Linked DNA regions of Caenorhabditis elegans. The protein of the gene in region 2 purifies or fractionates together with the protein of the main gene of each other region. This does not show direct contact. Each region holds a gene or a part of one and is shown on either strand. Other genes may lie near its edges.

What was found.
Region 1: the proteins of gly-5 (region 2) and ndx-4 fractionate together in Caenorhabditis elegans (co-fractionation; one large-scale study listed by BioGRID). This does not show direct contact.
Region 3: the proteins of gly-5 (region 2) and gos-28 fractionate together in Caenorhabditis elegans (co-fractionation; one large-scale study listed by BioGRID). This does not show direct contact.

What each region holds. Positions count from the first base shown.
Region 1 is NC_003279.8:13,787,865-13,798,266, reverse strand, and holds ndx-4 (Bis(5'-nucleosyl)-tetraphosphatase [asymmetrical]), read left to right. Parts: upstream 1-4,114; 5' UTR 4,115-4,126; coding exon 4,127-4,357; intron 4,358-5,342; coding exon 5,343-5,528; 3' UTR 5,529-5,628; downstream 5,629-10,402. Other genes in the region: W09G3.7 (Williams-Beuren syndrome chromosomal region 16 protein), read left to right, coding at 676-876; Y37H9A.5 (uncharacterized protein), read left to right, coding at 1,746-1,876, 1,947-1,968; ccct-1 (Coiled-coil and C2 domain-containing protein 1-like), read right to left, coding at 6,102-6,215, 6,637-6,747, 7,628-7,853, 9,043-9,283. UniProt on the Caenorhabditis elegans protein: Asymmetrically hydrolyzes Ap4A to yield AMP and ATP.
Region 2 is NC_003281.10:13,181,721-13,193,124, forward strand, and holds the start of gly-5 (Polypeptide N-acetylgalactosaminyltransferase 5), read left to right. Parts: upstream 1-5,671; 5' UTR 5,672-5,730; intron 5,731-6,389; 5' UTR 6,390-6,415; coding exon 6,416-6,523; intron 6,524-6,578; coding exon 6,579-6,842; intron 6,843-8,407; coding exon 8,408-8,526; intron 8,527-9,571; coding exon 9,572-9,906; intron 9,907-11,404. UniProt on the Caenorhabditis elegans protein: Catalyzes the initial reaction in O-linked oligosaccharide biosynthesis, the transfer of an N-acetyl-D-galactosamine residue to a serine or threonine residue on the protein receptor.
Region 3 is NC_003281.10:7,343,792-7,354,438, forward strand, and holds gos-28 (Golgi SNAP receptor complex member 1), read right to left. Parts: upstream 5,385-10,647; 5' UTR 5,374-5,384; coding exon 5,271-5,373; intron 4,901-5,270; coding exon 4,791-4,900; intron 4,748-4,790; coding exon 4,599-4,747; intron 4,553-4,598; coding exon 4,468-4,552; intron 4,417-4,467; coding exon 4,284-4,416; intron 3,935-4,283; coding exon 3,810-3,934; 3' UTR 3,443-3,809; downstream 1-3,442. Other genes in the region: F08F8.6 (uncharacterized protein), read left to right, coding at 1-18, 407-607, 936-1,035, 1,081-1,173, 1,430-1,479, 1,528-1,590, 1,672-1,938, 1,989-2,033; F08F8.7 (Ribulose-phosphate 3-epimerase), read right to left, coding at 2,168-2,365, 2,415-2,502, 2,555-2,854, 3,254-3,351; F08F8.9 (uncharacterized protein), read right to left, coding at 5,617-5,711, 6,086-6,148, 6,731-6,933, 7,517-8,317, 8,698-9,065, 9,628-9,745, 9,792-10,000, 10,139-10,162; F08F8.10 (Nuclear transcription factor Y subunit), read right to left, coding at 10,465-10,544, 10,592-10,647. UniProt on the Caenorhabditis elegans protein: Involved in transport from the ER to the Golgi apparatus as well as in intra-Golgi transport. It belongs to a super-family of proteins called t-SNAREs or soluble NSF (N-ethylmaleimide-sensitive factor) attachment protein receptor.

The DNA.
Region 1 (10,402 bases), on a different chromosome or scaffold from region 2:
AAAATGACGGAGAATTCGAATTTCTTGTCGAAAATACTTGAATTTCAAGTTTTCAACTGAAAAAATCTTTAAAAATGCCATTTTCAACTGAAATCTAGAGTTTCCACCAATTTTGCTCAACAAATTCTAGCTCAGCGACCCTTTTTACCCCTAGCGCGACGGTTTTCGCGTTATTTTTGAGTTTCTGTGCATTTTGGCTGAGGATTCGGTGCCCGGACGAGAAATTGCGTACTTTTGGGGCTACAGTACCCCAGAATACTCAAAATTGGCGTTAGAAGCCCAGAAAAAAGCCCCCGGGAGTGGAAAATGACGGCGAATTCAAATTTAATGTCGAAAATACTGGGATTTCAAGTTTTTAACTTGAAAAAAATTTCGAAAAACTGAAATTTTCTACCGGAATTAGAATTTTTCACCAATTTTCCTCATCGAATTTGAGTTCAGCGATCCTTTTTACCCCTAGCGCGACGTTTTTTGCGTGATTTTAAGTTTCTGTGCATTTTGTCGTCGGATCCGGTGCCCTGACGAGAAATTGCGTACTTTTGGGGCTACAGTATTTCGGAAAATTTAAAAATATGATTTTTTAAAGCATTTCTCACCCAAAATCTCAAAACTAACGCTAAATTTCCAAAAAAAAAGCAAAAAATGCCTGGAAATTTAAAATTTTCAAATTTTCAGGTGACCTCTGTCTCTGCCGGCAACAGCTGTATGTCTGCAATCAATGAAGACGGCCGACTATTCATTTGGGGAGAAAATCGATATTCAAGCTTAGGCCTCGGACATCAAAAACGTCAATTATTCCCTTATCAATTATTTCTGCCGGGAGATGTACGAAAAGCTGCACTTGGACCTGATCATTCTCTGTTTTTAGTTAATTAATATTGATTTTTTATTGATTTTCTATATTAAAATTGGATTTTATTTATTTTTCGCTATTTTTTATTGATTTTCGGTGCTTTTTGCGTTGTTTACACACGCTTTTCATATCTTTTCACATGGTTTTTTGTTGTTTTTGGTAAATTTTCTCACTGATAAGCCTTATCAGTGTTTTTAAAAATAATTTTTGAAACCTAAAATTGAGTTTTTTGGGAGAAAAATGTCAATTTTTGGTTTCAAAAATTATAATTTAATTACTAAAAATCTAAAAATCGCCCTAGCAGCGCCCACGTGGTGTCAATCTGTCTCATTGCGACTCATCGCGAGAAAATGCGGAAAATTTTTTCAAAAAAATCGTGACGTCACAGAGGCGAGAGTGCAATAGAGCAGCTTTGCTGCCGATGGCCGCAATTTATTTTTTCAATATTTTTCTGCTTTTTATCGCATTTTCAATTGAATTTCAGTAGTTTTCAGATGAATTTTTCGAATTTAATTGTGTCATTATGTTTAATTCGTATTTTACTTCATACAATCGACCCAATTTTTCGTTTTTTCCGCTTAGTTTTAAGAATTATCGTGAGAGAACGGATTGTTGGGCGAATGAAGCCGTTTCATATATGTTCTCGATGAAAACGATAATGTTAATAAGCTTTACATGTACTTTTCGGTTCTATACTTTCTCAATCCGTCTTTTCCTTATCTAACCAGCGTTTTTTTCAGGGTTTCGTCCGTTTCCGGGCCTCAGTGAGCGCGGGCAGATCGGAGAGTTCGAGATCGTCGAGAGAGAGTGAGAAGTTTAAGTAGCTCACACAGGTTTGTGTTGAAATCGAATTGCAAAGTGAAAAGTACAAATTTTGAAGGCAACACGATGCATGGAAGTCGAAGAATCACACCAATCACAACCAGAACAACACGGCTCACCGTATTGGAATCACGAAGCCAAAGATTTTCCTCTCCATAGAAGGAAGTCGACGCCAAGTTCATCAAGAACCTCCGCTTCGAGGTTAGATATAGATCCGGGGATCTTTCTTTATAATAATCCGAAAATCCCTAAAATCAAATTTCCGTTTCAGGTTCTCGACTTCCACAATGTAAAATTCCAAGACTACAACGTTCTGACCGATCAGGAGCTGAGAGAAGGCGTCAAAATCTTCAGCTAATGGCCAACAATTCCACAAGTCTATGTGAAGGGAGAGTTCGTCGGCGGATGTGATATTCTCATTTCAATGCACAAAGATGGAGAGATTTCCGACGAATATGGGAAACAATAAATGCTTTTTCATGTTAAAAATAAAAATTTAGATTTTTTTACTCGAATAAATCATCCAGATTGTATTATTTATTCAGCAAAAAGTGCTCGGTAGGTTGGTCGAAGACGAGTGAAGGGAATTAAATTTCAATAAATAAATGGGGCTCATTTTTACAATAAAATCAGTGAAAAGGGGGTAATTGATAAAAAATCGAAATGTATCCTTATTTCCACAACTTCTTAATGGACATATTCTTCTTCTTAATGGACATATTCTTCATTCTTCTCCGAATCCTTCTGCATAACCTTTCCAACAGCCATCTCGAAATCCTCTCGTGTCACATGAATACGTCGCTAACGGAGCGCAAACATACCAGCCTCGAAACAGACTGACTTGACTTCGGCTCCCGATGCTCCAGGAATTTGCTCGGTGTCGAGGATGTCGATACGGTTGGTTGCCATGATAACCTGAACATATATATTTAGAAATTAGAAAGTTTTTGCATTTTCCCTACCTTAATACTCTTCTTCGTTGCCTCAAATCCATCGAGTTGATTGATCAGCTCGAGCATAGTTCTCTGAACTTCCGAATCTCCTCCACTAGATTCTTTAACTCTGCTTGGTCCGATTGGATCGATTTAATCCATGAAAATGATCGATGGAGCATGCTCACGAGCCATCACGAAGACTTCATGCACCTGAAAGCATTGTAAATGTAAAGATTATTATGTCGATCCACTTACCATTCGTGTTTATTCTCCAATAAACTTCTGCACCAACTCGGAGCCGGAAACTCGAATAAATGTGCACTCAGTGTGATGAGCAACTGCACGAGCTAACAATGCTTTTCCAGTTCGTGGTGGTCCATAGACCAGTTTTCAACAAAAAATTAACTTTAAAAATGACAAAAAGTTATATTTTAAAGGAATGAAAGAAAATAAAATAAAAATCACAATCTCTCGTAAATCCTGCCCGCTTGTCTGCATTTGCGCGTCAATTTATGCGCCGCGTGTTTGCGGCCAATACACCGAAAAACACCGATGAGACAGCTTGACTACACGTGAGCGCCGAGAAGCTTTTGCTCTGTGAGCTTCAAATAGGAAGCTATAAACTTTCGATTTGAAGCCCAACGAGCAGCTTTTCGGCTCTGCTGGGGCGCAGAGTTGCGTTCGGTGGCAGAAACTGGAAAATTCTGAAATTTTCTAAACTAATTTTCGAATTTCCTGCCATTTTTACCCCTAAAATCAACTTTTTTCGAAATTTGGTTCATTTTCTTGTAAGCTACAGTTTTGACGTACTTTTAGAGCTACAGTACTCCAAAATTTTTTTCTAATTTTTAAAATGTTTTTTAGTAATTCAGAAACGCGAAAATGTTTCCAAAAATCAATTTGTCTATAAAAATTGCAGAAATTGAAAAAAACTAGAAGTTTTCTCTATATTTTTTCTAGAAAACCAGAAAATTCTTTTTTTTTTAATTTTTGTAGCAAAATTTCTTAGGAAAATCCAATTATTCACCGAAAAAAAAATTTTTAGGCCGTCTAAACGTCCTTTTCGAATTTTTTTTTCAGTTTTTCTCAATTTTTGCCAAAAAAAATTGGATTTTTCAGTCAAAAATTCAAATTTTCACCTTAAAATTGCACAAAACCGCCCCAGCAGCGCCGAGAAGCTTTTGCTCTGTGAGCTCCAAATAGGAAGCTATAAACTTCCGATTTGAAGCCCAAAGAGCAGCTTTTCGGCTCTGCTGGGGCGCTGAGTTGCGTTCGGAGCACCAAACTCGAAAATTTGAAATTTTCAGCGTAAAGTTTACCGAAAATATGTTTTTGAAAAAAAATTCCGATTTTTCTGATCAAAATTTCGAGTTTCCCGCCATTTTACGCCTAAAATTAATTTTTTTCAAAATTTGGAGCTTTTTGTCGTGTGCTCCTATTTTTTTTAATCCAATTTTAACAAAAAATCGATATTTTCTAAAAAAAAAAATCCAGTTTTTTTCAGCGCCAACAAAAAATGGTCGTAAAAGCCGCGGGACTTGTGATCTACCGGAAGTTGGCGGGAAAAATCGAGTTTCTCCTGCTTCAAGCCTCCTATCCACCACATCACTGGACCCCACCAAAAGGTCACGTGGATCCAGGAGAAGATGAATGGCAGGCGGCAATTCGTGAGACTAAGGAAGAAGCTAATATTACAAAAGAGCAACTGACAATTCATGAAGATTGTCATGAAACACTCTTTTATGAGGTGTGTGTGTGTGTGTAAGAAAATCGATAATTTTTATCGATTTTTTGATGGAAAAATCGATAATTTCCGGCGAAGTATGATATATTCAAAATTTTCGAATTTTTTAATGAAAAAATCGATAATTTAATTTCGATAATCAATAAATTATCGTTTTTCCGATGGAAAAATCGAAAAAATTAAAAATTAAATAATATCCTGCGAAAATCGATAATTTCGAATTTTTCGAATTTTTAATAAAAAATCGATTTAAAAAATTTCGAAAAAAAATCGATATTTTCGAAATTTTCGATTAAAAACCCGAAAAATCGATAATTTTGTGCGAATTTTCGAAAAAAAAATAAATTATCGATTTTTTAAATAGAAAATCGAAAATTTTTTTTGAATTTTTTTTTTTTTTGAATTTTTTTGAATTTTTTAAATGGAAAAATCGATAATTTATTTTAGAAAATCAACAAATTATCGATTTTTCTAAAACTAAATTTTCATTGAAAAATTTTTTGAAAAAAATCTCCGATTTTTCACCAAAAATTCAATTTTTCTGCAATTTTGCGGAAAAAAACACGAAAATATCGATTTTTTCGGAAAACTTATCCATTTTAAGCTTTTTTTGGGAAAATTCGGGATTTTTCGATTTTCTGATAGAAAAATCGATATTTACCGGCGAAAACGAAAGAAATTTCCTTTTTTCGTAAATTTTGTAAAAAAAATTGATTTTTTTTTCACAAGACCCTGAAAATTCAATTTTTTCCAGGTTTTTACACTGAAAAAAATTTTTTTTTTGGTTTTGTGAAATGTATCGATTTTTAGGAAAAATGGCAAAATTTCCGGGAAAATTCTGGAAAAAAACGCAATTTTTCCGAATTTTGAAAGAAAAAATCGATAAAAAATTGGGTTTTCAGCGAATTTACATATTTTTTAAATCGATTTTTCATTTGAAAATTGAACTAAACACTAAAAAAAATCCCAAATTTCGCTAAATTTACAGGCAAAAGGGAAGCCAAAATCAGTGAAATATTGGCTCGCCAAGCTCAACAATCCAGACGACGTTCAACTATCTCATGAACATCAAAATTGGAAATGGTGTGAATTGGAAGATGCTATCAAAATTGCCGATTACGCTGAAATGGGCAGCCTTCTCCGCAAATTTTCCGCTTTTTTGGCCGGATTTTAACGATTTTTCACCGATAATTTCATATTTTTCGAAAAAAAATAATTTTCATTTATTTATTTAATGTAAACTTTTTATTTAATATAAATCTTTTCATACACAATTGTTCATGATGCTCTCTCTTTATCAAAAATATAATGCTCGTAATTATTAATGAATGCGTGTTGTCTCAGAGCCTGATAAAACAGATTTTTTTTCGAAAATTTCAAAAAGTTTTTTAGGGTTCAGAGATCAATTTTGAGTCCTCTAACTGTCCTTTTTTTTAATTTAGGCAAAAAAATAATTTTTCTGAAAACGTACAAAACCATCAATATTTGAAAAAGGGCAATTTTTTAAGGTTTAGAGATCAATTTTGAGTCCTCTAACTTAAAAAATAACCATTTTAGAGAAGTTTCAAAATTGTGATTTTTGCCGTTTTTTTTGCCATTTTTGCCACTTTTTTCTAAATTCAGCATATATAAATGTTACTCCTCTGAAAAAATTAAAAAGTCGTTAACTCTTCCGATAAACCAAATATTTATATTATATTCAAAAAAAAACACATTTAAAACATCGAATCAAGTAGAAAGAATCCATTTAATTATCTAAAATGAGCCATTTCTGGGCAATATGTTGAGCTTTTGCATCACCAATTGGTTGACGAATTCGAACTTTCGCCGACAAGAGACCACCAACTGCTTTACGGCCGTCCTGAAACGAGAAAAATTAGAAAATTTTACGAAAAATCTAATTTTTTATCGGAAATTCGAAATTTTCCGTTAAAATCAGTACGTTTTTGAAAAAAAAAAAAAAAATTTTGCCCAAAGAAAAAAAAAAGTACAGTCATTAGATGGCTGAAAAATGAAAATGGGCAAAAATAAAAAGTTGTCTAAATTGATTGAAAACGGGTAATTAATATATGCAGAATTCAGAAAAACTAGGTTTAACCCGTCAAAAAACATTAAAAATGGCAAAAAAGTGGCAAAAATCACAATTTTGAAACTTCTCTAAAATGGTTCATTTTGAAGTTAGAGGACTCAAAATTGATCTACAAACACTAAAAAATTGCTCTTTTCATAATTTGATGTTTCTGAAGAAAATCAATAAATTACAAAAAAAAATCGATAATCACCTTCAATGGAAGTGATTCTTCCATTTCAGCACTATGTTCCAGCTTCTCCAATTTCCATTCACAAGTGCCCAAAAGTTTGTCGCTCCGCATGAATCCACCTTTTTGGAATACCTGAAAATTTTGAAAAATTATCGATTTTTGGAAAATGTTTTGAAGAAAAAAACAATTTTTCGACTTTGAAAAAAATTATAATTGTATCGATTTTTTGGGAACATTGTCTCTCCCTTTTCAAACTTTTCAAAAAACATTTTGGCGGGCAGGAATTCAAAAAAATTTAATTTTTTGAAAACAATTTTCGAAGAGCTAAGGTATTGTAGGATTACTGTAGGGTTACGGTAGATTTGGAAAAATTCGAGTTTTAAGATTTTGAAGAAGTATTGGCTTGGAAGTTGGTGGGAGACAATTTTTTGGTGTGAAAAAATGTTGGTAAAAAATTCCAAATTTATCTAATTTTTGAAATTAAAAAAAATAAAAGTATCAAATTTCAATTTTATTGATTTCGTGATATACTTTTTTGTTGAAAAATTCAATGTTTAGGTTAAAAAAATTTTTTTTTCGAATTTTAGGAAAAATCCGTTTTTTTTTCTTGGAAAAAAGTAATATTACAGTGTTTTTGATTATTTGAAAATTTATTTGAATCAATTTCAATTCAATTTAAAAAAAAACCAAAATTCATCGATTTTTTGAAAAAAACAATTCATAGTTAAATTTTTTCTGAAAAAATTAAATTTTTCGAAATTTTTTTATAAAATTTGGGAAAAAAAATTTCTTTTCGAATAAAAAAAAAATCGATTTTTCAAATAAAATTTTTTAAAATCAATATTAGGAAAAACATATAAAATTTTCATTTTTTTTTCTGAAAATTTTCTGAAAACTTATCGATTTTATTCTTATTTTTTCAACAAATTTATCGCCTTTTAAAACATTTTTAAATCAATTTTTTCTCAATGTTTTTTCAAATATTCCATCGATTTCTTCTTGTAGATAATACCTCAAACTTGAGACCTCCTCTCTTAAAAGTTCTCTGTAGTTTGCTATTTCTTGATTTTCCACTTCCAATATTCAACATAATCGATTCGCCGAAATCCGGCGAAGCAGTTCCGGCAATTAATTTAGTTTTTCCAGTCTGTGGTAGATCATTGACAACTGCTGGGAATGTATATTTAATAAATAGATTTGCATGATGAGTTTCATATCCTGATGGAAGGGGCACGTCTCTGTGAAAAGAAAAAAAATATTGATTTTTTTTTGATGAAATTATCGATTTTTTCATCAAATTGGCAAATATTAGTCAAAAATAAAATGTTGAAAAATCTGTCGATTTAAAAAAAAATTGATTTTTCCATAAAAACTAACAAATGTTTGTAAAAAACAATATTTCTACAAAATTTATCGATTTTCAATGAAATTACCGATTTTTGGAATGAATCATCGATTTTTATGGAAAGTATCAAATTTTTGCAAAATTTATCGATTTTTCATCAAAAAAAAAAATTTTATGAAACTATCGACTTTTCCATGAAATTTTCGATTTTTCCAAAAAAAAAGTTATGGTCTTTTCATAAAATTAAATAATTTCTGTCAAAAATAAGTGTTTCTGAAAAAATTATTTTTTCTATGAAATTATTATTGATTTTTGGATGAAATTATCGATTTTTTAAATGAAAAAGTTTTTTCAAAATTTTAATTTCTGCAAAATTTATCGACTTTTTCTCTAAAAAATTTTCTCACAAAATTATCGATTTTTTTCGATGAAATTATTGATTTTTCCAAAATTTTGTGGAAAAAAATGTATTTAAAATATATTGTGGAAAAGCATTGATTTTTGGATTGAATTATTGATTTTTTTAAAATGAAAATATCGATTTTTTGATGTATTTAACGGTTTTTTCATTGAATTATTTTGATTTTCCGCGCTAAATTTATATTGATTTTTTAACATCAAATTATAAAATTGTCAAAAAATTTATTTTCAAGAAAATCGTCGATTTTTTAAAAATTTTTAAAATATCGACCTTTGGGTGAAATTATCGATTTTTCCATGAAATTATCAAATTTTCGTCAAAATTTATCGATTTTTTCTCTAAAAAATATTTGAAAAAATAATTATCGACTTTTATGAAATTTATCAAAATTTTTAAGTATCAAATTATCGACTTTTCAGTCGAAATTATAAATTCTCTGTAAAAATTCAGTTTTTAAAAAAATAATTTCTCTTTAAATTATCGATTTTCCAGTGAAAAATCAATTTTTCGTCCAAAGGTCGATATTTAAAAAATTTTTAAAAAATCGACTTTTCTTGAAAATAAATTTTTTTATTGGGTCGATTTTTTCAGTATTTTTTTTCTGAAAAATCAATAAAAATTTGAGGGGAATATCGATTTTTTCAGTATTTTCTGCGTGTACCTGCACGAAACAATCGTCAACTCGATGACGTCATCAGCCAAATCAGGAAATAGGTCAGCTGATGGAATCTGACGCATTTCGTAATGAAATTTGGGTACTTGAAGACCCCGTTTTGCGACTTCACGGACTAAAAGCAGGTCTTGTTTTGCAACTTTTCCCCATCCTTCAAACAATCGAACTTTTCCAACATCACCGAGACGCGTGAAACGCATTTGATTCGTTTCAGCCGATCGAACTTGTTCTGAAACAACAACATTTTTTTTTGGTTTGGAAATTCGAATTCCTCGTCATTTTTCACAATAATAGGCTTTTTCCTGGGTCTCTAACGTTAATTTTGAAGTTTGGGGTACTGTAGCCTCAAAAGTACGCAATTTTCAGCCAATCCTACGCCAAAATGCACAGAAACTCAGATTTGCGCGGAATCTGTCTAGCTTTCACGTACATAGGGGTAAAAAGGTGCGCTGAGTTCGAATTTGATAAGGAAAATTGATGAAAATTCTAATTTTTGATGTAAAATCGTGTTTTTTTTCTATTTCTCGAGTTTATTACAGTGAAAACTCAAAATTCAAATCTTTTAATTATTAAATTCGAATTCTCCGTCATTTTCCACCCCCAGGGCTTTTTTCTGAGTTTCTAGCGTTAATTTTGAGTTTTTGGGGTACTGTAGCTTCAGAAGTACGCAATTTCTCGTCCGGGCATCGGATCCTACGACAAAATGCAGAGAAATTCGAAATTACGAGAAAACCGTCGGGGTAGGGGTAAAAAGGGTCGCTGAGCTCAAATTTGACAGGTAAAAAAAATGGGGTAAATCGGGTAAATCTGAATTCGAATTTCTTAAGGAAAAAACACGAAAATTATGATTTTCAGTTGAATTTCCAATTTTTAAGTTCTAGCTGGATGAAAATTAACATTCAAAGATTGTAATAACCAAATTCGAATTCCTCGTCATTTTTCACTATGATAGGCTTTTTTCCTGGGTCTCTAACGTTAATTTTGAAGTTTTTGGGGTACTGTAGCCCCAAATGTACGCAAATTTGAGTCCGGGCACCGGATTCTACGACAAAATGCACAGAAATCTCAAATTTTGCGAAAACCGGGTGGATTGAGGGGTAAAAAGACACACTGAACTCGAATTTCTTAAGGAAAATTCACCAAAATGATGATTTTCAAGTCAATTTTCATAATTTTAGAAATTTAGTTAGATGAAAATTAAAATTTTAGAATTTTTGTGATCAAATTATTCGAACTCCCCGTCCTTTTTTACTACAATAAGCTATTTTCCGGGTCTGTAGTGTTAATTTTGAAATATTTGGAGTACTGTAGCCACAAAAGTACGCAATTTCTCGTCCGGGCACCGGAT
Region 2 (11,404 bases):
CATATTCTCCCCGAAATATCAAAGCTGTAGCTCAAAATCGCGTCAAATTCAGTGTGTTAGTGGTACTGTTTGCGTATTTTTAGAGCTACAGTACCGGGAAAATTTTCAAAGAAATCGGAGAAACTTTCAGTTTTTTTTTGTTTCTAAAATTTAAAAACATTTTTTTTATTTTTTTTGTAGATTTCTACAAAGCTAGGCTAAATTAGGTATAGGTATTACAGGAACACAAAATTCTGAGAACGCGTATTGCGCAACATATTTGGCGCGCAAAATATCTATAAAATATCTCGTAGTATATCTATAAAATATCTCGTAGCGAAAACTACAGTAATTCTTTTCATCCTTTGATTGCGCGTGGTGTTCGCGCATTCCACCGTTCCGCATAACATGATTGAATAGTTTCTCTCTCACTCTCTCCCTCTCTCACACACTCGCTCGAAATCTCTGCGTCTCTATTAACAAGGAAAAGCTTTGCGGCTATCCGATTTAGTGAGAGACTGTTCTCCTATTCCCCCGATACAATACAGAGAGTGAGAGAGGTGAAGAGACGCAGAGAAAACGAGAAAAAGAAATTGCTGATTGACCGAAGAAATAGAGGAGAAATGAAGAAGCATTGAATTTAAATCCGATTTATGACGCTGGTCACCATTTTTAATGCTTTTAATTTTGGTTTTCAATTAATTTTGCTTCAAATTTTCTACCGGGGTAGGCAAAGGCAGGCAGGCAGGCAGACGTTCAGGCCAGCTTCAAGAGGAATTCGTGGAATTTCAGACATTTAACATTTCTTATCAGTCCTCTAATCTCTTAGTTTATCATATACACTTTTCTGGAGCTTAGAATTTTTAAAGCACCTGTTTGTAATTTCCGAACTTCACTTCCTAGTTTTCACTGCTTAGAGATTTTCTTTTCGGCCAATATTTTTCAAATATTACGGGAACATAAAGTTCTGAGAATGCGTATTGCGCAACATATTTGACGCGCAAAATATCTCGCAGCGAAAACTACAGTAATCCTTTAAATGACTACTGTAGTGTTTGTGTCGACTTACGGACTCGATTTTCGAAACTTGTAATTTTTAAAATAATTTATTTATGGATAGAATATTAAAATCAAGCATAAAATAAGAAAATAATATATCAATATTCGAAAAGATATTTATTTCAAAAATGGAACCTGTAAATCGACACTACAGTAGTCTTATTTAAAGAATTACTGTAGTTTTCGCTACGAGATATTTTGCGCGTCAAATATGTTGTGTAATACGCAATCTCAGAATTTCGTGTCCCCGTAATACTAGTTCGAATTTTTTAAATCTGCCTTTAAAAAAATTAAATTAAGCTCTCTGAGAGCTTTGAGAAACGTATAATGATGTCTGCAATTTTGGGTCCTGGCACGAAATTTGAGCTAGTAAGCGACGACACAAATATAGAAAAACCTTTCATTATACGCTAAAACAAGCGAAAATTTCGAAACTTGACGGAGTTATCAATTTTTTTAAAAGAAATTCGAAAAAACATGTAATTTTCAAAATTTTCAAATACTTTGTCGACATAAAATATATAAAACTACACAACAAAAATATAAAATTATATTTTTGAGCAACTCAATATTTTTAACAAAAAAATTTCGACCGTCTCTATTTTTCAGGCTTTTTTCTAGGCCAGAAGTACCGGTTTACAGGCCGTGCTTATTTTTTGATAGAATATTGAAATTTTAAAAAAATTAGAAAATAATACAAAGAAACGGATTAAAATGGAGAATCCCTGTCACTTTTGGGAAAGAAATTAATTTCAAAAATTATGCCCGTAAATCGACACCAGCGCTACAGTAGTCATTTAAGCATTACTGTAGTTTTCGCTACGAGATATAGGTAGTTATATTTTGCGCGCCAAATATGTTGTGTAATATGCATTCTCATAATTTTATTTTCCCGTAATATGAAAATGATAAAATACAAAAAAAAATTACAGTAGTCATTCTATGATTTTCCTGCAAAAACCAACACAAGCGAGCGCTATAGTAGTTATTCAAAGAATTACTGTAGTTTTCGCTTTGAGATATTTTGCGCGTCTACTATTGCAATTTGAAAACCTATATTTTCTAATTTTCCACTCCATTTGATAGATTAAGGTCTGGTCTACTCAGCTGTCTGCACTGAGCTCCCCCCCCCCCCTCCCCCGAACTAATACTGAAGCTTTGAAATTTATGAAACAACATGTGGTTTTTAGTATTCTCTTGTTGTTCCTTCTTCTCCACTTTCTTTTCTGCACAAAATCTGTCGCATGTTGTACTTTTTTTTCTTTATTCAGTTCCCACAGCACCGCCACATATATTGAATCAATTCAATAATATTCATACATGATGTGGCGAAGTATATGGTTTCTGATTTTGTGATAATCTCCATTGTGATAATTTTTTGTTAATAATTTCCATTCATCTACCGTAATCCTTTTTTGTGAGTTTTGTGGTATTTGGTCTTGAAACGAAAAAAATTTTGTAGCTACCATAAGTTTTTGCATTTTTATTATATTGAGCGGAAGCTTAATTTAAAACAGAAAATTGTGAGTTCGGTAGATGCAAAGTTTCGTGGCGAGACCCGGATGAAAAATTTTCGCAACTGGGTAACACGAGAACATCAAATTTTGTATTTAAATTTTTGAAAAAAAAATATTCAAAAAAAATTCAAAAAATTAATATTGCAATTTATCAGTTTAAAGGTGCATTATGTTTTAGGTCTCGCCACGATCTAACTTTATGAATTTTAATTTGGGTTACTGTACCTTCTAAAATACGCAACAAAAACTCAATTCTACGATAATTCTTGAAAAATTTGAAAGAATAGTAAGAGTAAATATCGTAATCTCAAGACTCACGGATTTATTCAGATGGGTCTCGGTGCGCAAAATTCGCTGAAACGGAAAAATACAAGTAAAATGAACAAGGAAACTTTTTGCGCGTCGAGACCCATCTGAATAAATCCGTGTGCCTTTAATAAGTTATGACTTGTGGAAATTAATTTTAGTGTTTCAAAAAAAAGTACCGTATCCATCTTCCATTGAATTTTGTACAATAAAGCATCCAATGACTAATACGGAATTCTTTCCTTTCTGGTTCATACTTTTCTTTTCTGAAAGCGCATGTGCGGCCAGGCTGTCTCATCACGGTTTGCTCTACAAAAAATGCGGGATTTTTTCGCCCTAAAATATGTGACGTCAGCACGTTCTTAACCATACGAAATCAGTTAAAAACTCTGCGTCTCATCTCCCGCATTTTTTGTAGATCTACGTAGATCAAGCCAAAATGAGACACTCTGACACCGCGTGAAAGCGCAAATGTACCCAAATTTTTATAGCTCCCCTTCCAAAGTTTCCACTTCCCTCGTTTCTGCTAAACTGTACAATGTATTTGGTGCAGGAGACCGCTCCGCAATATACGCTCGTAAATTGCAATGTTTGCAAAAATTGACGAGAGAGCATGTCAGACATAAAAATAAGGGACGCGAGGCAAAAAAGTGACACGTTGTTTTATTTTTTTAGCATAAACGGAAAGCGGGTCGTCGAGTGAGATGGCTTTCATTTGTTTCCTTTTTTGTTTTTTTTGTGTGGTGCTACGTGGTTTCTGTGCTTTTCTGGTGTCCTGTTTGGAACTGAATACAAATTTTTTCAGAAAAAAGTTGGCCGGAATCACGAGGTGTCAAAGTGTCTCATTTCGGTTTGATCTACAAAAATGGGGGATTTTTTCCCCAAAAAATGTGACTTCAGCACGTTCTTAACCATTAGAAATTAATTGAAAAGTCTGCGTCTCTTCTCCCGCATTTTTGTAGATCGAACCAAAATAAGACACTTTAACACCACGTGCGGAATTAGAATATCTCTAGAAACATTTTGGCGGGAATTCAAATTTCTATGGAAAAATTTTTGCGGGAATTCAAATTACTATGGAAAAAATTTGGCGGGAATTCAAATTTCTTCAGAAAAATTTCGGCGGGAATTCGAATTAAAATTGTGTATGCACCTTTAAGATTACTGTATAATGTTTTTTTTTCAAATTTTCTTATAATTTACAGATTTTTATAGCTAATTTGTGACCGAGTAGAACTTACTTACTTACTTAGTAACTATAAGAAAACAATAACAATTTTTCTAAGATCAATTTAAAGGCGCTCGCACAAAGTAATTTTGGAAAGGGTCTCACCGCGCCAAATGAATTTTTCAAATAATTTTTTTTCGCGTTCTCATTTTTCCTAGAAATTCCAGAATTTTTGTAGTAAAATTGCAAACATAAGCCCTTTTCGAAATATTTTTTTTCTTCATTAATCGAAAAAATAAGATGATTTGTAGTTTAGCCTAGCCTATAGACATTTTCGTTCCCCTCTCACTACAAGTAGGTGTCTCTGACATTCTCTTCTCCAACCTATTCGTCATGCTCAATTGAGCACGTCCGGGGCTCTTCTAACCAGCAAACAACTCCCCCCAGTTATGACCACGTTTCTCTTTTGTCTTCTGGGTTCACTATCAATAGAAGTTTCCATTTGAGAAGTATGCAAAGGGCGTGGGCGTCTGTTTGAGCAAAATGGGTGTGAATGGTAAGATGGATGATAAGGGGGAAATGATGTTTTTGACGTAAAAAATTTTATAATGTGGAGTATCGAAATCTTTTTAGAACAATTTTAAAATGACTCCCTGATTCCGATATTTAAGTGAAAAAAAAAACTGTGCTTTTTTTAAGGTCACTTTTTTTGTTATATCATTAAAAAAACTAACAAAATTTGTGATTTTTAGGCGGGAAAAGCATATATTTGGATTTTTCGTCCACGGGGTTCTGGGCATTTCTCATTGAATTTTCGCGCTCCATTGATAATCGCCTGCCGGACAGCGCGTGGAAAAGTGTCGTGTACTCCTCACGGACAGCAAACTTCAGTTTTACAACTAAAACGAGCCGCGACGCGACACGCAACGCGCCGTAAATCTACACAAAATCTCTCCGACCCAAAATGGCCTAGTTCGGCAAACAGCCAGAATTCCGTGGAATTCGTCGAGTTTTGACCTAAGAAATGGAAATTTTGTTAGTTTTTTGGCAAAATAATATTTAATTGACCTTAAAAAACGAAACTTTGGAAAAAAGCGACGAAAATGAAGATATTGAAAATCTCGTAAATCGACACATCGCGATTTTAAGCTGAAATATAATATCAGGGAAATTTTTTAGAATTTTTTCACTTAGATATTCGGAATCAGGGAGTCATTTAAAACTATTTCTCTCACAAAATTTCTAGGATACACGGAAAATCGAAATCGTGACTCATTGCGAACTTGAAACATTACAGTTCTCGAGCACATTTGAACTTGACCGAAACCACCGAAAAAAGTAAATATAGTGTGAGAGAGAGAGAGTAAGAGGTATTAGAGAAGCTAAAAAAGATAGTGGTTCTGTTCTATGCTCTCTTCTTATACACCCTCTTCCCTTCCCTTCCCAACTGTTCAAATATTATCGTTAACATGCCTTGCATGCTGCTGCTCATCGTCATTGTCCACGTCAACCTAAAATTTTTAATGTGAATTTGAATTCAGTATGCCTTGGGTCCGAAAAAGTTTGCATTATAAATTTCCTTGTTTTACTCGAATTTCCAATACTACTACTACTTTTCACAATTTAATTCGTTTTTTTTCAGGCAGCAAACTTATATTATCAAAATTGAGGGATATTGAAGCATAAAACGGAGGATTTTCGGTAGGTTACGGTACCCTGGGTCTCGGCACGACAAATGTTTGAAAAAAGGTGTGCGCCTTTAAAGAGTACTGTAATTTCAAACTTGTTCATTTGCGGAATTTTTATTGATTTTTTAGTTTTTCGATGAAAATCTATTAAATTATCAAATATCTAAAGTAAATTTCAAAAAGCTGAAAAATTAATTTTAAGGCGCACACCTTCAATGAGTACAAGGATTTGTCGTGTCGAGACCTGGATCTGTATTTCTGACGCAAAAATCTGAAAAGTGTCATATTAAACAATATTAAAGAAAAAAAAAGAAAAAAACTAACTAAAAAAATCTGTTTTAACATTGAAAACTTGATCATTTTGAGGTCAAACTAGAAAATATTGATTTTTCTTCGAATTTCTATTGATTTTTTTGTTGCTATTTATTAGTTTTCCTGAAAATTATAGTTTTTCCATCATATTCCTGCCAAAAACATGTTCCACCGATTTTGTCCACGTGTAGTACGTAGTTGTCGGTTTCTAGGTCACCACCCGTGTACTACACGTGGACGATGTGTCCTTATTTGGAGTTTTTGTCGAAAAATTTAGTTTTTACTGGTTTTTACTGAGCTGAATCGAAATATTTTGAGAAATTTCCCAATTAAATTAATCAAAAATTAATTTTTTTGCAGATACGGGTCGATTTTGCCGCTGAGAAATGATTATATTCAAGAAAAAGGCGATATTAAAAGTTCTCCTCTTGGTTCCAGTTTTTTGGATTTGCTCGTTGATTTTTTTCGCAGCAACCAGCAATGATAGTAGCCAGGTATCAAAAATCAAAAATAAAAAAAATAAAAATGTGATTAAAATCCCATTTTCAGATCGGATCAAATAACGATCTCGCGAATAAAATTGCGGAGGCGAATTTCCACCCGAAAGCCGCGAAACAAGACGTAATTCAAGGATTTGGGCCGCCGATTGAGCCGGAACCTGTCGTAGAGAATAATAAAGTGGAAGAAGAAGAGCAACCCGGCGGGAACTTGGCCAAACCAAAATTTATGGTCGATCCGAACGATCCGATTTATAAAAAAGGAGACGCAGCGCAAGCCGGAGAGCTTGGAAAGGCAGTTGTCGTCGATAAAACTGTGAGAATTTGATTATTCTTGAGGAATAACGGTTCTTTGAACTTGTGGACTCAAAATGTGCTCAAATTCTCAAAATTGCGAAAAAAATGAGCCAAAAATGACTTAAATTGGCCAAAAATTACCAAAAATGATTTTAAAAATGAAAATATTCCGTATAGATTTTTAATCATTTTAGGGCAATTTCGGTCATTTTTTACTGATTTTTGGCTGATTTTCCATCATTTTAAGTAATTTTAGTTAATTTTAGGCCAAATTTGGTTATTTTTGGTCATTTTTGGTCAATTTCTGTCATTTTTGGCCGATTTTTAATCATTTTTGGTCAAATTTGGTCATTTTTCAGAAATTTTTAGTCACTTCAGCGCTCGGAAATTGCCGAAAATTGGCCAATAATGACTAAAAATGACCGAAATTTGCCGAAAATGATTAAAATGTATATAATATACCGTATTTCTTCTATTAATATGGCCTCCCTATTAGACTTGCACTCCCTATTAGTATTGCTCCTTGAAAACCCTCCGAAAATTAGTATTGCAGTTAGTGTTGCACTCCCTAATAGTCTTGCATCTACTTTTTTTTTTTGGTACAAACCCACCCTACTAATTTTGAGATTTTAACAACATTTTTTGCCTACTTTGCAACAATTTTGGTAAAATTTCTATGAAATTGAAGTTATTGTACCTTTTTGTTGCAATTACAATCAAATTTTCTGAATTTTCACATAAGATTCGAGTTTTTTCAGGAAAAAAACTAGTAAGCTCAAAGTCAGAAAATGTTCTGAAAATTAGTATTGCACTCCCTAATAGTCTTGCACTCCCTATTAGTATTGCAAGCGGAAGACCATCGAAAAATATTATTGCAGCCATATTAATAGAAGAAATACGGTACATATTTTCGGTCATTTTTAATCATTTTTGGCCGATTTTCGATTATGCTTAGTCATTAAAAAAAAGACTAAAAAATTACCAAATTTGGTCCAAAATCACCAAAAATGACTGAAATTGGACAAAAATGAATAAAAATTTCTAAAATATTTAATATTTTAAATATTTATGTCATTTTTGGTCATTTTTCGCCTATTTTGGGCCAAATTTGGTCATTTTTCAGACATTTTTAATCACTTCAGTGCTCGGAAATTTTCGAAAATTGGCCAAAAATGATTAAAAATGATGTCTAAAATATTTTAAATATCAAGTTATTTTAAATATGAAATATTTTCGACATTCCTGGCCAATTTCGGTAATTTGTAGTCATTTTCAACCGACTGCTGATTATTTTTGGTCCGTTTAGGTATTTTTAGCAAAATTTAGAAATTTTAGTAATTTTTGGCCGAATTTTCATTTTTTTTTTTGGTCACATTAGGTAATTTTTAGGTGATTTTGGGTAATTTTTAGTCATTTTTATCCAATTCGCGATCATTTTTTAGCCACTCTAGGTCATTTTAGGCCGATTTCGGCCCCCAAAATCTAAGATTCTAGTGGAAATTAGTTCTTTTTTTTTCGAAATTTTGATGTTTTGCCTTTAAAATCAACGAAAAAAAAAAACTTTATTTTCTTTCTAATTTTCAGAAACTATCGACCGAAGAAAAGGCAAAATACGACAAGGGAATGCTCAACAACGCTTTTAATCAATACGCATCTGATATGATATCAGTACATCGAACTTTGCCAACTAATATTGATGCTGAGTGGGTTTTTTTTTATTCCAAAATTCATAAAAATCGAAAAATTAATTTTTTTAAATTTCCCTAAAAAACTGAAGTTTTTTTGTGATTTTCCGGAAAAAAAGAAGAAAAATCGAATTTTTTCAAAAAATTTTCTTTTTAAAAAAATCGAAAAATCGATTTTCTTGCAATTATCTGTAAAAAACGAGAAGTCGATTAAAAAAATCCTAAAAAAGAAAAAATCAATTTTTTTTTTGTTTTTCATTTAAAAAACTGAAGTTTTTTCTGATTTTCCGAAAAAAAAAAACGAAAAAAAAAATCGAATTTTTAAAAGAATTGCCTTAAAAAAAATGAAAAATCGAAATTTTTAAAATGTTCTAAAAGAACAAAAAATCTAAATTTTTCGATTTTCCGAAAAATCGAAAATATCGACGTTTTTTCATTTTCCGAAAAAAAAACGAAAAAAAAATCGAATTTTTAAAACAATTGTTTAAAAAAAAACAAAAAATCGAAAAATTTTTTAAATTTCCCTAAAAACTGAAGTAAACGAAAAATCGATTTATTCCAAATAATTTTCCTTTAAAAAAAATCGAAAAATCGATTTTCTTGCAAATATCTGTAAAAAAACGAGAAGTCGATTTAAAAAAATCCTAAAAAAGAAAAAATCAATTTTTTTTTTGATTTTCCGGAAAAAAAACGATTTTTTTTTTGAAAATTGGCTAAAATTCCAAAAAATTTTCAAATTTTTGCTCATTTTGATCAGAAAAAATATAGGAAAACCTAGAAATTTCTTTTACAAAAATGTTGTCGATTTACGAAGTATTTTGTACTACACGTGGACTATTTTTTGCAGTTTTTGGCTGGAATTCTTATCTTTTTCTGATTCTTAAAAAACATTTTAAAGTTCAAAAAAAAACTTAAAAATTCTCGAATTTTCTGTATTTTTGAGAGAAAAACGGAAAAAAAGTAAAAAATTCTGTACAAAAAAGCATTTTTTCTGCAAAATAATTTTAGAGAAACAAAGAAAAAAAAATCAATATTTGGAAAAATTTAATTTCTTTTTTTGCAGATGTAAAACCGAAAAATACAATGAAAATCTGCCGCGAACGTCTGTAATCATCTGTTTCCACAATGAAGCATGGTCAGTGCTTCTCAGAACAGTACACTCGGTTCTTGAACGTACTCCCGATCATTTACTGGAAGAAGTTGTGCTGGTTGATGATTTTTCGGATATGGATCACACGAAACGTCCGTTGGAAGAATACATGTCACAGTTTGGTGGAAAAGTCAAGATTTTGAGAATGGAGAAGCGTGAGGGATTGATTCGAGCAAGACTTCGTGGAGCTGCCGTCGCTACTGGAGAAGTGTTGACTTATTTGGATTCACATTGCGAGTGCATGGAAGGTAAAAATTAAATTTTCGATCAAAATTTGTACGGGATAAATTTAATTTAGCCTTGATTTTGGAGTTACTGGAAATTTCGCGATTTTCGACGTTTTTCGACGAAAAAATACAGTTTTCCTGGTCTTGATAAAACAAATTTTCAAAAAAAAAAAAATCAACAAAAAATCAATTTTGTGTCAAAAAATGGAAGGTAAAAATTAAATTTTCGACCAAAACTGTATTGGATAAATTTAATTTAGCCCCGATTTTGAAATTACTGGAAATTTTTTCGACGTAAAAAGCCCGTTTTCCTGGTCTTGTCACGACAAATTTTGGTGAACTCCTTTTATTTTTGTGAAGCTAATAAAATACAAAATGCAGTATAAAAAAAGAAAAAGTGAAACACAATTGCATAGGCTTTCATTTGAGCATATGCGAAAATTCGATGCTTGGTAAGAAAAGTTTGGGCAAAATTTTTTGTAAAAATGCCAAAACCCCTGAAAAAAAAATTTTTAGCAAAAGAAAAACCAAAAATTCAATTTTTCATCAAAATTCCAAAAAAAATCCATTTTCGGTCAAAAAATCTTAAAAAAACCAAAAAAATCAGTTTTTCGTCAAAATACCGAGGAAGTCAATTTTTTGGCAAAATGCCAACAAAAAAAAAACAAAAAAATCACTTCTTCGTCAAAATACCAACAAAACATCAATTTTTTGTCAAAAAATGGAAGGTAAAAAAATTTTTAAATTTTTTTTCAAATTTTCGATCAAAATTTGTACGGGATAAATTTAATTTAGCCTCGATTTCAAAATTACTGGAAATTTTTCGCGATTATCGACGTTTTTCGACCAAAAAAAATACAGTTTTTCTGGTCTTGACACGACAAATTTTGGTGTGCGCAGTAGCCTCTTTTCAATTTTATGAATCTAATAAAATTAGATAATGCAGCAAAAAAAGAAATGAAAAGAAATAAAATTGAAAAAGTTCGGATTTTTTTTAAAGAAAAAAAATCGTGAAATTTTGCAGTTGGGTACCTGAAAACCCTCAAAAAACCAGCTGAAAGTCGTAAAAAAGGCAAATTTTCAATTTTAAAAAGTGTTTTGCACAGTGTATTTTTTTTTATTTTTGTATATTTTTGAAAAAAAACAGCTTTATTTATGTCGAATTGAGTCGAATTTCATTTTTTTAAACTTTTTAGAAGAAAAAATTATTGAAAACCACAAAAAAAAACAATGTTTTCTTCAAAATACAAAAAAAAACCCAAAAAAATCAATTTTTAGAAAAAACAATCGATGTTTCTTCGAAAAACCAAAAAAAAACCAACAAAAAAATCAGTTTTTCGTCAAAGTAAAACACTAAAAAAAAACAAAAGCTAAAAAAAAAAATAAAAAAATAAATCATTTTTTGGCAGAATACCAAAAAATTCAATTTTTCATCAAAATACTGAAATAAAAATCCATTTTTAGTAAAAATTTTAGTAAACAAAAACCTAAAAAAAAAAACTTCTTCGTTAAATATATT
Region 3 (10,647 bases), 5.8 Mb from region 2:
ACAACTGCAATAATTTCGGTAAGTTGTGAAACTTTCAATCTTGTGAATCTTAAAGGTGGAGTGAATGGGGACACATATAGTACTTGAAAGAGTCTAGGACTCAAAAATGCCACAGAAGAAAATAAGAGAAATTATTAAGAGACCATGAGATCATGAGAATGCCTACCGTTTTGGCGCGGGAATATCTCGTAGCGAAGGTACCTAAATTCTCATCGCCGCATGTTCTTACAATTAGATTACTCTAGATATCCGAAGAATCTCTCCTGCCGCCATTTTCGCGCCAGAAAGTAGACATTCTCATGCACCGATGGTTTCTTAATACTTGACACGTTTAATTTGAAGTGGAATCTAGTTGCATCGTGGCTGGGAACCTCATTAGCAGTTCTCATGTTAATCGGATTTTCAGACAACAACGATCGATAACTTACTCAAGCAACACCAGTGTGAATATTTTCATTATAATAAACTGGCACTTGGATTATGGATTGTAGCTTCTGCACTTTGCTTCATCGCGTTGTTGAGTACCATTTACTCGGTTTTCAACGCATTTCAACTATGGAGTACGATACAGGATTTGGATAATGCAATCATCGATTTGATTGACGAGGCAAGTTCAACTCTTCAGAAATTGCCCTTTTCGATAGTTGTGAATTGAACACCTCTCTTTTGGATACTTCTACAAAACATTATATTCACACATACAATACACTTGTAGGTTACTGTAGATATCCGAAGAGTCTCTGAAGTACTATCACGACTCTCAAGTCAAATGATGAAAAACTAACGAATAAACTGTAGTTTCGAACTTCTATAATGTTCCGATACAAAAATAAACATTCGATAAGGTTATTTTTAGAAAAAATTGGTTTTGGTCAATGCCCCAAATTATGATAGAAAAGTTTTCATAAAAAGTTATTTAATTTTACTAGTTTCAGGCGTTGCAAATTCTCCTTCCAATCGAAATCTGCAAACAAATCTGTCATCCTAATCATTTGGGTTCTGTCAATGTGAACTACTCGACAAATGGACAAAAACGTATGTCTTTCTCTGTATCTGTCTCTCCAAAATTCATTATTTCAGAGGAAACAAAACCAGGAAAAAAAGATAATCGATATCCAGAAGATGTCACATTTCCACCATCTGATATTGAACGTGTTTATGACACGATGGGAGGTAAGAATCAGAACTCGGTTATTGTTTAGTTGCCATACGCTCCAATTTTCGGCAACCAGCAACTTGGTTGCCCTGGTGGTCAGATAGACAGGGAGTAGGTATTGAGGGGGGTTGTGCAAGTCGGCAAAGCCGTAAGATGTAGGGATGAGGTGGACACGTACGCAGGCAGGTGTGAAGTAAGTATTAGGTAGGCAGAAGGAAAGGGACTGGTGAAGTGTCTGTCTATTTCTTGCAAATAATCGAAATCAATTTTCAGATGAAGATACTCGTAAATCGAAGACTATGACACTTGGAACTATTGAAGAGGTTTGTATGTTCACTCGAGTGTTTTCATTCATTTCAATCAATTTTCAGCCTGCTCCAAAATCGGCCATGCTCAGCTTACAGAAGACACCAAAGGAGAGTGAGACTGATCTGGTTCGTTTTTTATTTTTCGAAATATTTTTTAGCTTTTGTAGTACTCCAAGATCTTGAGCAAAAGTACAACCAATTTTTCAGAAAAAGACATTGCCACGTTCTCCTCCTCCAATTCCGAATCGTAAGCAGCCGTCTCGTGAGATCATGTTGACTCCGAAGCAATCTACAAAGACTGCAAATGCTGGAGGAAGAAGCAAGGAGCCGTCGTTGAATACTGCAATGAGCCAAGAGGCAGGAAATATCGAACCACGAAAGACTCCGAGTAAAGATACAATTGGAAGTACTGGAGTATTGCCATCAAATCAGGATAAGAAGACTCCGAGCAAGGAGAAGGAAAGTGTTAAAAATGTAAGCAACTGAAGAATGGTCCATGATGTTTTGTAATGCTCTTTTTTCAGACACCTGCTCCGACCCCGAAGCTAGGAACTGCAGAGCCCATCTGAACTTTATAGATAAATAAATGCTGCTTTGAATTTTTTAATTGACAATCATTTACTAACTATTAACATCACAACCTCAAAAAGCTCTGAAAAAATGAGCTTCAAAATTCAAAACAATATTCAAGTAATTAAGAAAATCAGCACTTCGAAATAGCAGCTTCAACTGCATTTCTGATTGTTGTCATGGCGACAGATTGATCTGCAGCTTTGATGATTCCAGTTCCACTCACGATCGCATTGGCTCCAGCTTGAGCAGAGATTTCAATATTTTCAGGTGTTACTCCTCCGTCAACTTGAATAGTCAGATTTGGATATTTTGAACGGATTGTGCGAACCTGAAAGCCATAAATTTTATTCGTATCAAATAAAAACCAAAATAAATACCTTTTCCATCATGTTTTCCATGAACTTTTGTCCTCCAAATCCTGGTTCCACAGTCATGATAAGAGCATTATCCAAATGATTAGCATGTCTAAAAAGTTTTTTAATTTAAAATCTAGATTGAAATATAATTTTGATTTTACTTCAAAATATGCTCAACAGAAGTTCCCGGTTTGACCGATAATCCCACTTTCATTCCACTTTTTCTGATTTTTTCGATCAATTCACTGACTGCCACATCACCATCTACAGCCTCATAATGGAATGTGAACTGGCTGGCACCAGCTTTTGCCATCGGTTCAACCCACTGTCCAGGATTAGAGACCATCAAATGAACATCGAAGAATGGTTCAGCACCAAGAGATTTACGAAGAGATTCAACGACAGGGTGACCGAATGTGAGGTTTGGTACAAAGTGACCGTCCATCACGTCGAGGTGAAGCCTGCAAGTTGGGAGCTGGATACTATGGGAACGCAGAAAGTAAATCCTTTGAAAATCCAAGTGGAAACGTTACTTACTTACTGCTAAATGAAAACGCTCCGCCCCTCGAACCATGGGTCTCATTAGGTATTGACATTGATAGTTTAAGCGTTTTCAATTAGTCCTGCCAATTTGTGTTTGAAGATGAAAACAATTTCAATTTGCGATTTTGTGGCCAAATACCTAACGAGACCGTAATCTCGGGGGGTCGGAGCGTTTCCAATTGGCCGTGGAGTACGTTTCCATGTTGATTTCAGAAGAGGTTTTTGTGCGTTCCCATTTAGATTTTTGAAATCTAAAGGGACATTTAAATATGAAAGTAGTTGTCAAAACTATTCAGAATTTCTAAAGATCACCTTACCAATCTGCTCCAGCTGCTAAAAGTTTCTTGCATTCAGAAGCCAATGATGCAAGATCGGCATTCAGAATTGATGGACACACAAATGGACGGAGGGTCATCTGAATTCTAGATAAATAAATTTTATCATCCAGAATCAATGAACAAATAAAGTTATAGAATTAAACTTTCAACTGTAAACTTTCAAAAAAATCTTTAAATAATACTTTAATTCATAAATATGTATACCCAATTGTTTCACATCGAGAAAAAAACGAAAAAGCCAAGAACTCCATTATACTCGAAAGATTACAAAACGAGAAAATTATTTACAAGTAAAAATTAGAAAAACGGTGAGGAATATCACAATGAAAGTGGTGTGCGTTGTATGAAGGGACAAGGGAATAGTACAAAAATCGATTATTCTTATCATTCAGTTTCTATTTTTCATTGACACAAAGTAATAACAACTCGAAAACTTGATAAAAAGTTACGACTGCCGATTGTTAAATTTCTTCGAAAAATACGAAAATCGGAGTTCGAAAAAGTTTTTGAGTTTTTTTTTGATATTTGAAACTGATTAATTGATAATCCAGAAAATTGTAAAAATAAGGCACGATGAGATGACGGCAGCAAGGATCAGTGTGTTCTTCTGCTTTTTCGTTTTGATTTTTTGCATCAAATTGTTAATTGCAGGATATTTTTCTAAAAAAAGTTGTTTTGATAATTATTATGCAGCTTGTAAAACTGTTTTTCAAAAATGTTGAGTCTCAGTTGAAAGGAGGAATTTTTTTTTGAAATTTTTTCGGCTTTTTGGAGAAATTCTAACTTTTGTTTTTCGGTCCAAATTTCAAATAAATTTTTTGTTGTTTTTTTTTAAAGATTTTTTGTCAAAAAACTGTATTGCAAGAAATTTGAACTCAAGTTTATTAGGTCTAAATTAATCTAGATTGACGATTTCAAAAAAGATCGGGTGTTTCAGGAACATTTTTATCAGAAATGTTCATAAATACTTAGATTTACTTTAATTGTTTCCCTTTTAAAGATAAATTACTTGAAATATGATGAAGCCGAGTTGATATTCCACGTAGATTAATTCCCTGTCTGGCCATATTCTCTTTCGTTGACATTGCCATTTCTAACTGTTCATCTAACAATCGATCACAAGCGTTTATATGGTCATTCTCCTGAAATTAAATTAATTAGTACTACTTTCTTGAAATTCTTCCCAAAAATACCTTCAAATACATATCATATCCACGAGCCCTGTTGTTCAGTATAGGATTATTACGATTTTCATTTGAACTGCTCAACAAGAGTTCTCTGAATAATATCGTATTGTTTAATTTAAAAAAAGTATTTTTCATACCTCTGTAATACCTGATCAACATTATCTCTTGCACGTCGATACTCACTACCGTAATCTCGAAGAATTTCTCGATGTCGTCGAAGTGTGTGTTGAATGGCTGGATTATTAGCCCAAGATGCCGAGGATTGAGCACCAGCTACGTCATTCATCTGAAGTTGACGAATTTAAAAACAAAATTGAAAATAAACTAACATCATCATTGATATTTGTCAATTGCTCTATCAATCCTTCGATTTCTGTTGTCACTGTTTTGAAGCTCGTTTGTCTTGAGGAAACTGTTTTCTCGTCGATGTCAAAACCGCCTGAAATATTTTTTCAATAGGAAACATGTTTATTAAATATTTTTCTGAGAGACATGTTCGAAAGTTGGTTATTCAAACGCCAAAAATACTGTACCCGGTCTCGACACGAAAATGTTCTTTATAAATGCCCTTTTTGGTTTTTTCATTAGTTTCTTTTTCTTTTTTAAAGTTTTTTTTTCAGAATATATAATATTTGGGTTTTTCAAATAAATACATATATTTTTTTTGAAACTTCCGCATCAACACAATTCAGAAAGTGCAGTACTCTTCAAAGGCGCACACTTTTTTGTATTTTATGAAAATGTTTCGTGTCAAGACCCGGTATCGTATTTTCTGAGGATAAAATCGTAAAATTCTTGGTAATACTTACCATGAGAGCTAGCCGTTAATTTATTCAGGGAGACGAGCTTGACATCGATGGAATTTTCTGTGCTTCGGGCTTTCTTCCGCAACGCTTCCCAAGTTTCTGACATTCTGTGTTCCTGAAAGTATTGTTTTTTCGAGTGACTGAAATGTTGGTCACTACTATGAGAAATAAATATATTCATCGATATTTTGACGATTAGAAAATTAACAACAAATAAAATTAAACGGAAGTTATGAGTAAAACTTCATTCAAAAACTTAAATTGAATTAAAAAAGAACGAGATTTTCCAATAACGATTCTACGATTGAATTGATTTCGAACAAAACAAAGTTTTCCAGCCAATTGTGAATCAAACTTCTTCGTCATCACTGATATCTTCCATATTGACCGTTACTTGAACGTTTTTGTTGTTACGACGACGTTGTTTCCTGCTGGGACCTTCAGCTGAAAAAAATATGTGTATTACCACTTTGCCATTTTTGATAAGAAATTACTGGATCCGGTCATGGCGCGACAGAAACATTTATGAACTTTTATGGATTACTGTAGTTGCGAATTTTCCTTGCTATTTATCTCGTTTCTTTGATGTGATCACATCAAATACTTTTAAAAATTATTTTATTTAATATTTGTTTTCAAAGAAATTTTAAGAGCAATGTCAATGAAAAGGCAGATAAAGTATTAAATAACTGGGGGTGGCGAACTACTGTACTCTTGAAAGGCGTGAGACCGGGTACTGTAACTTTGCATCAAAACTCGATTTTTTTGCAACTATAGACCTATAGGTTATGATTGAAAAAAGTTTTTTGTTTGATTACCTGGTTGAATACTTCCTGCTCTACTTTGATCAGCCGATCGCTTCAATGGGCCTGGGCTTGAAACTGAAAATAGAAAGTATGAGGATATTTGAAATAAGAAGATTTGGGGAATCAGCTGGGAATTATTTGAATCAGGAATGAGTATATTCAGCCCAGTAATTAAAACCAACAAATTTTGATTTTATGCTTCAAAAATCGTTAAATTATCGAACAGGTATTATACATCTTGGTAGGTAGGCATGCGTGGTTTGAAGGTCTAGGTGCCTGCCTGAAACCTTCCAGCCTCTCGCCTCTTTCTGCATTCTGACATTACTTTACGAATTTATATTTTGTAATTTCAATCAATTTAATGTGAATCAAATTGAGAAATGAAAAAATTAAATTCATGTGTATTTTAGCAGAAGGCACCGGTTTGAGGCGCGAGGCAGGCATTTTGACGCCTACGTGGAAGTCCAATGATGGGGAGTAGAAATAGTCAAATTTGAAGATTATTAGCGTCAGAAGTTCTAATCGTAATTTTTGGAAAAACCCTCTGTTACGATTTGAATACTGACTGCAAAAATAACCAAAAAACATTATGAAAGAGAGAAAAATCGAAAATCCAAGAAAGAAAACGCGTCATCATGTGAAATCGTTTGTCTGTACCTTCTTCGTAGACTCTTCCCTGTCGTCTCGCTAATTCTCCTCCCAGTCTCTTCTTTCTTTCGACTCGTTGTCCATAATAGTGAGAAGCAGCGGGATCCTCGTTGATGCTTATCGACCGCGAAGTCGAAGAATAGTTGCCGCCAACAGATGGATTTTTAGATTCGTGATGGGAACTGTATTCTCGATTATCATAGTTGTGCTGGCTGAAAAGAGGGGATAATAGAATATCAGTTAATCTGAAATTCTACAAGATATGGGGGGGGGGGGGGTTGAATAGGGGGAATAAAAGTAGAAAACAAAATATATTTCCTCAAACTTTTTTGTGAATGGACACAAAATGTTTCACAAAGCCTAAGCTTGATGTAATTCTAAACGAGTATCTCAGAGCTTTACAGATGGCGATTAGAAATCTCAAACGATCGATTATAACATTCTGAGCCACAATTTTCCCATTTTCAAATATTTTCGTTCAGAGTCTTTCAATGATTAGCCAGAACGAATTCAGTTACTTCAGAACTAGAGGTCACTGTCCGATGTTTCTGAATTCGAAAGAAACAATGAAAAGTTGAAAACTGTGATCGTAATCGAAGGTTAATTTCAATTAAATAATCAAAGAAAAATCAATTGATTGTTACATCTCAAAAAAATTAGACGAATATATTGGGAATTTAGTGGAATCTCTCATATCAACTTATCCTTCAAAAGAGAAGGCAGAAAAATATGAAAAAAAACAGGAATATGGGATAGTATTAAAAAAGGACTTGTTCAATTATTTCAAAAACGTACCCTGTATGACCCGCATGAGTTCTACCATTCTCGAAACATTCTCTATCTCTGAGCTCTCTTTCCCTCAGCTCCATCAATTGCTGCCTCTTTGCCAATTCCATTTCTCGATGCCGAATTTCAGCTTCCATTTGCATATGCATTTTCTTCGCGTTGATCATATGAAGCTCTTGCTCAATTTCCATAAGTCTTTTTTGTCTCAAAAGTTCATCTTCGGAAGCTTCCAAAGGTTGTGAATGGAGAGAAGCAAGAGAAGCGGAAAATTGATTCGTGTTGAAATCTTGATTTACTTGCTGATTCGGTTGATTATATTGTGGAGTTGTGTAACCATTAATTGCTTGATTTATCAAATCTGGAACCATCGGAGTATATTGTGAAGACTGTTGATATGAAGAAGAAGAAGATGGAGTTTGATTTGGAAAAGAAGAATATTCTGATGTCTGGTACGATGGGAAAACATTGGAAGTTCCAGAAGTTGGAACGGTTGAATAGTCACTCGTGGCAGATTGTGGGTTCCAATGGTTTCTTGTTGGATCATCATAAGCAGATGCCGAGGATTCAGATATTGGTTCGTGCACTGCAACACCAAACGAAATGACAGAAGATGTTGATGTTTGTGTTGGATCCGTAGCTCCACCATATACAGGAACAGAACTCGACGAAGATTCCAATTGACGAGAAAAATTGGCATATTCTGATGGTTGATATGGCTGATAAGTCGTAGAAGTGTCTGGAGTTGATGCAAGGAAAGTCGAATATCCATTTGTTGAAGGATCGTAATTCCATTGACTCTCGGTGTTAGGCCTGAAATTATACTTTGAAATTTTGTAATTAATAATTTTTTATTCAAAAATTGCTTTCTTTATTTTAATCGCTCGATTGTCAACAGGGCTGATAAATTTTTAATTTTTGACACAAAAATCCCAAAAAAACACTTTCAGTAAGTACATTAAACACTTTTCATAATTTGCAATTTTTTAAAAAAAGAAAAATGTGGTTTTTTAATAGTCTTCTCGAAATCTATAAATCTTTAATAGACTCTACTTCTTTTTGGTTTTTTTAAACCAATTTAAATGTTTTGATTTTCGTATTTTTTTGGTCCAAGATCAACACCTAAAATTTTTTTGTAATTTTTTCCCCAGCCCTGTTGTCCGAACTTGTAAAGTTTTTTAATCACGACTTACCAAGTATTTCCGATATGTTGATATCCTCCGGATCCTTCCGAACCTTGATAGTTCGACGAAATATCAAAACCACCATTGTAATCTTCTCCCGTTCTTTGCTTGAATGATCTGGCTTTTTCATCAAATTTGATATCCATCAGTGGTTTGGCGTTTTTGTTTTTTTCCTGATTTTTCATCTGTTTCTTTTGATTAACATTCTGTTTCGGCGGAACAGCTTCCATGTGTGCTTGTTTTACCACAATATTGGCGAGATGAGGTTTATTAGCTCTTTTCATAAATGTTTCCTTGTTGAGAAGCCATAGCAATCTGCATTTGAACTTTATTCTGCCTTGATGCTTCGTTGTATAAGTCGGAAACTGGGGATCACTCTGTAGAAACGTTTATTTTAAGGTAGAGTTTTCAAATTTGGCTTAAAATGGATAGCAATGATCGAATAAAACTGTTTAAAAAATTATGAAATATACCAAAATGTTTAGTCTTTTTTTTTGTGCAAGTTTTTAATATTTTTGCGCTTTCAGTCTATATTAAAAAGGTTTTTTTCCGTTTATCTTAATCTCTTGATTTGCGACATAGTTCGTCTATTTTTCAGAAGTCTTTCCGTAAAGAAACCTTAATAACTATAAAACTTCGCTAAAACTTCAAAATTGCCATTAAAAAAGCTATAATTTTTCTATTATAAAAATGTTTGAAAAATTGGCAAACTGTGTTTTGAGTCAAATATTACAGAAAAATGGAGAAAAATCGATAAATATAGCCAGAAAACGCGAAAATCTCAAAACATTCAACTAATTTTTTTGAATTTTGAAAAATTGAATTTTTTTGAATAATAGAACTTTTTAACAGTTATATTAGATAATTAAGGTCCATATTCTGCCATTTAAAGCGAATTTTTAATTTTACTTTAAAGTAGTAAATCAAAAAAAAACTTACCAATGTATTCTCTTCAATATGGATCTTCATTGCCTTTTTCTCCAGTAAAGTGAGTTTAGCCTCCTCTTCTGCCACAAAAAGCCCGTTCATACTTGCCGGTTTACCAGTATCGGTGATTCTGAGAAAAACAAAATAAAAAATGAAAAAATTAAAGACTTTCTCACAAATTTTTCAAAAACTTGTTGTTTAGATTTTGTTTTTGTTTCTGTTTTTGCTTTGGTGGTTTCGGAGGTTTTTCCTTCCTTTCTTCAGGCTTCTCAGTAGAGTTGACCACAGTTTCAGTTGAATTTCCATCGGTCTCCTTGGGTTTCTTGGGAATTCGCGCAGATGGGAGTTTGCGTGCTTCAAGTGGAACTCCGATAACTGGGATTATCTGGAAAACATTTTATATCGATTATTCATTTTCTATTTTTTGTCTAACATTTTCAAAAAAAGTTTAATGATTTTTTGGTATTAAAAACAATTTATAATTTAAAAGTTATCGCAAGTTGTGAGTAAACAGAAAAATTACCTTATTATCCCATTCCGATGACATTTTGGGAAGAATATTCAGCTGAAATTGTGAAATTAAAGCGTTTTCTGTAGTAAGTACAGCTGTGCAACAGACTTTACGACACCGCCCGCAAACACTATGACGTCACGACGCACCACTTTAACGTGGCAAAGTTTAGAAGGGAACAGTTAAAAAAATATATAATAAAGACGATTTTTCAACGTCTACAAGTTTACAGGGAAAAGAAGGGAAAAATTATAATTTATTCATTAGTTGAACAAAGCATAACATTTATAACACTAGTATTAAAACATTTACAAATGGAAATCGCCACTACATTCCTTCTAGTCATATTCCATTCCTCCGTGTTGATATTGATTTTTAGGATACTTCTTATTCCCACCGCGACTCTTTTTTGGGAATGCTGAAAATGAAACTTGCTTGCAACAAACCAAAGTTATGTCTTATTACCGGGCTTAATTTTTCCTTGATAATGATGGGAGTCAACCGGCCGATTCCAAGAGGAT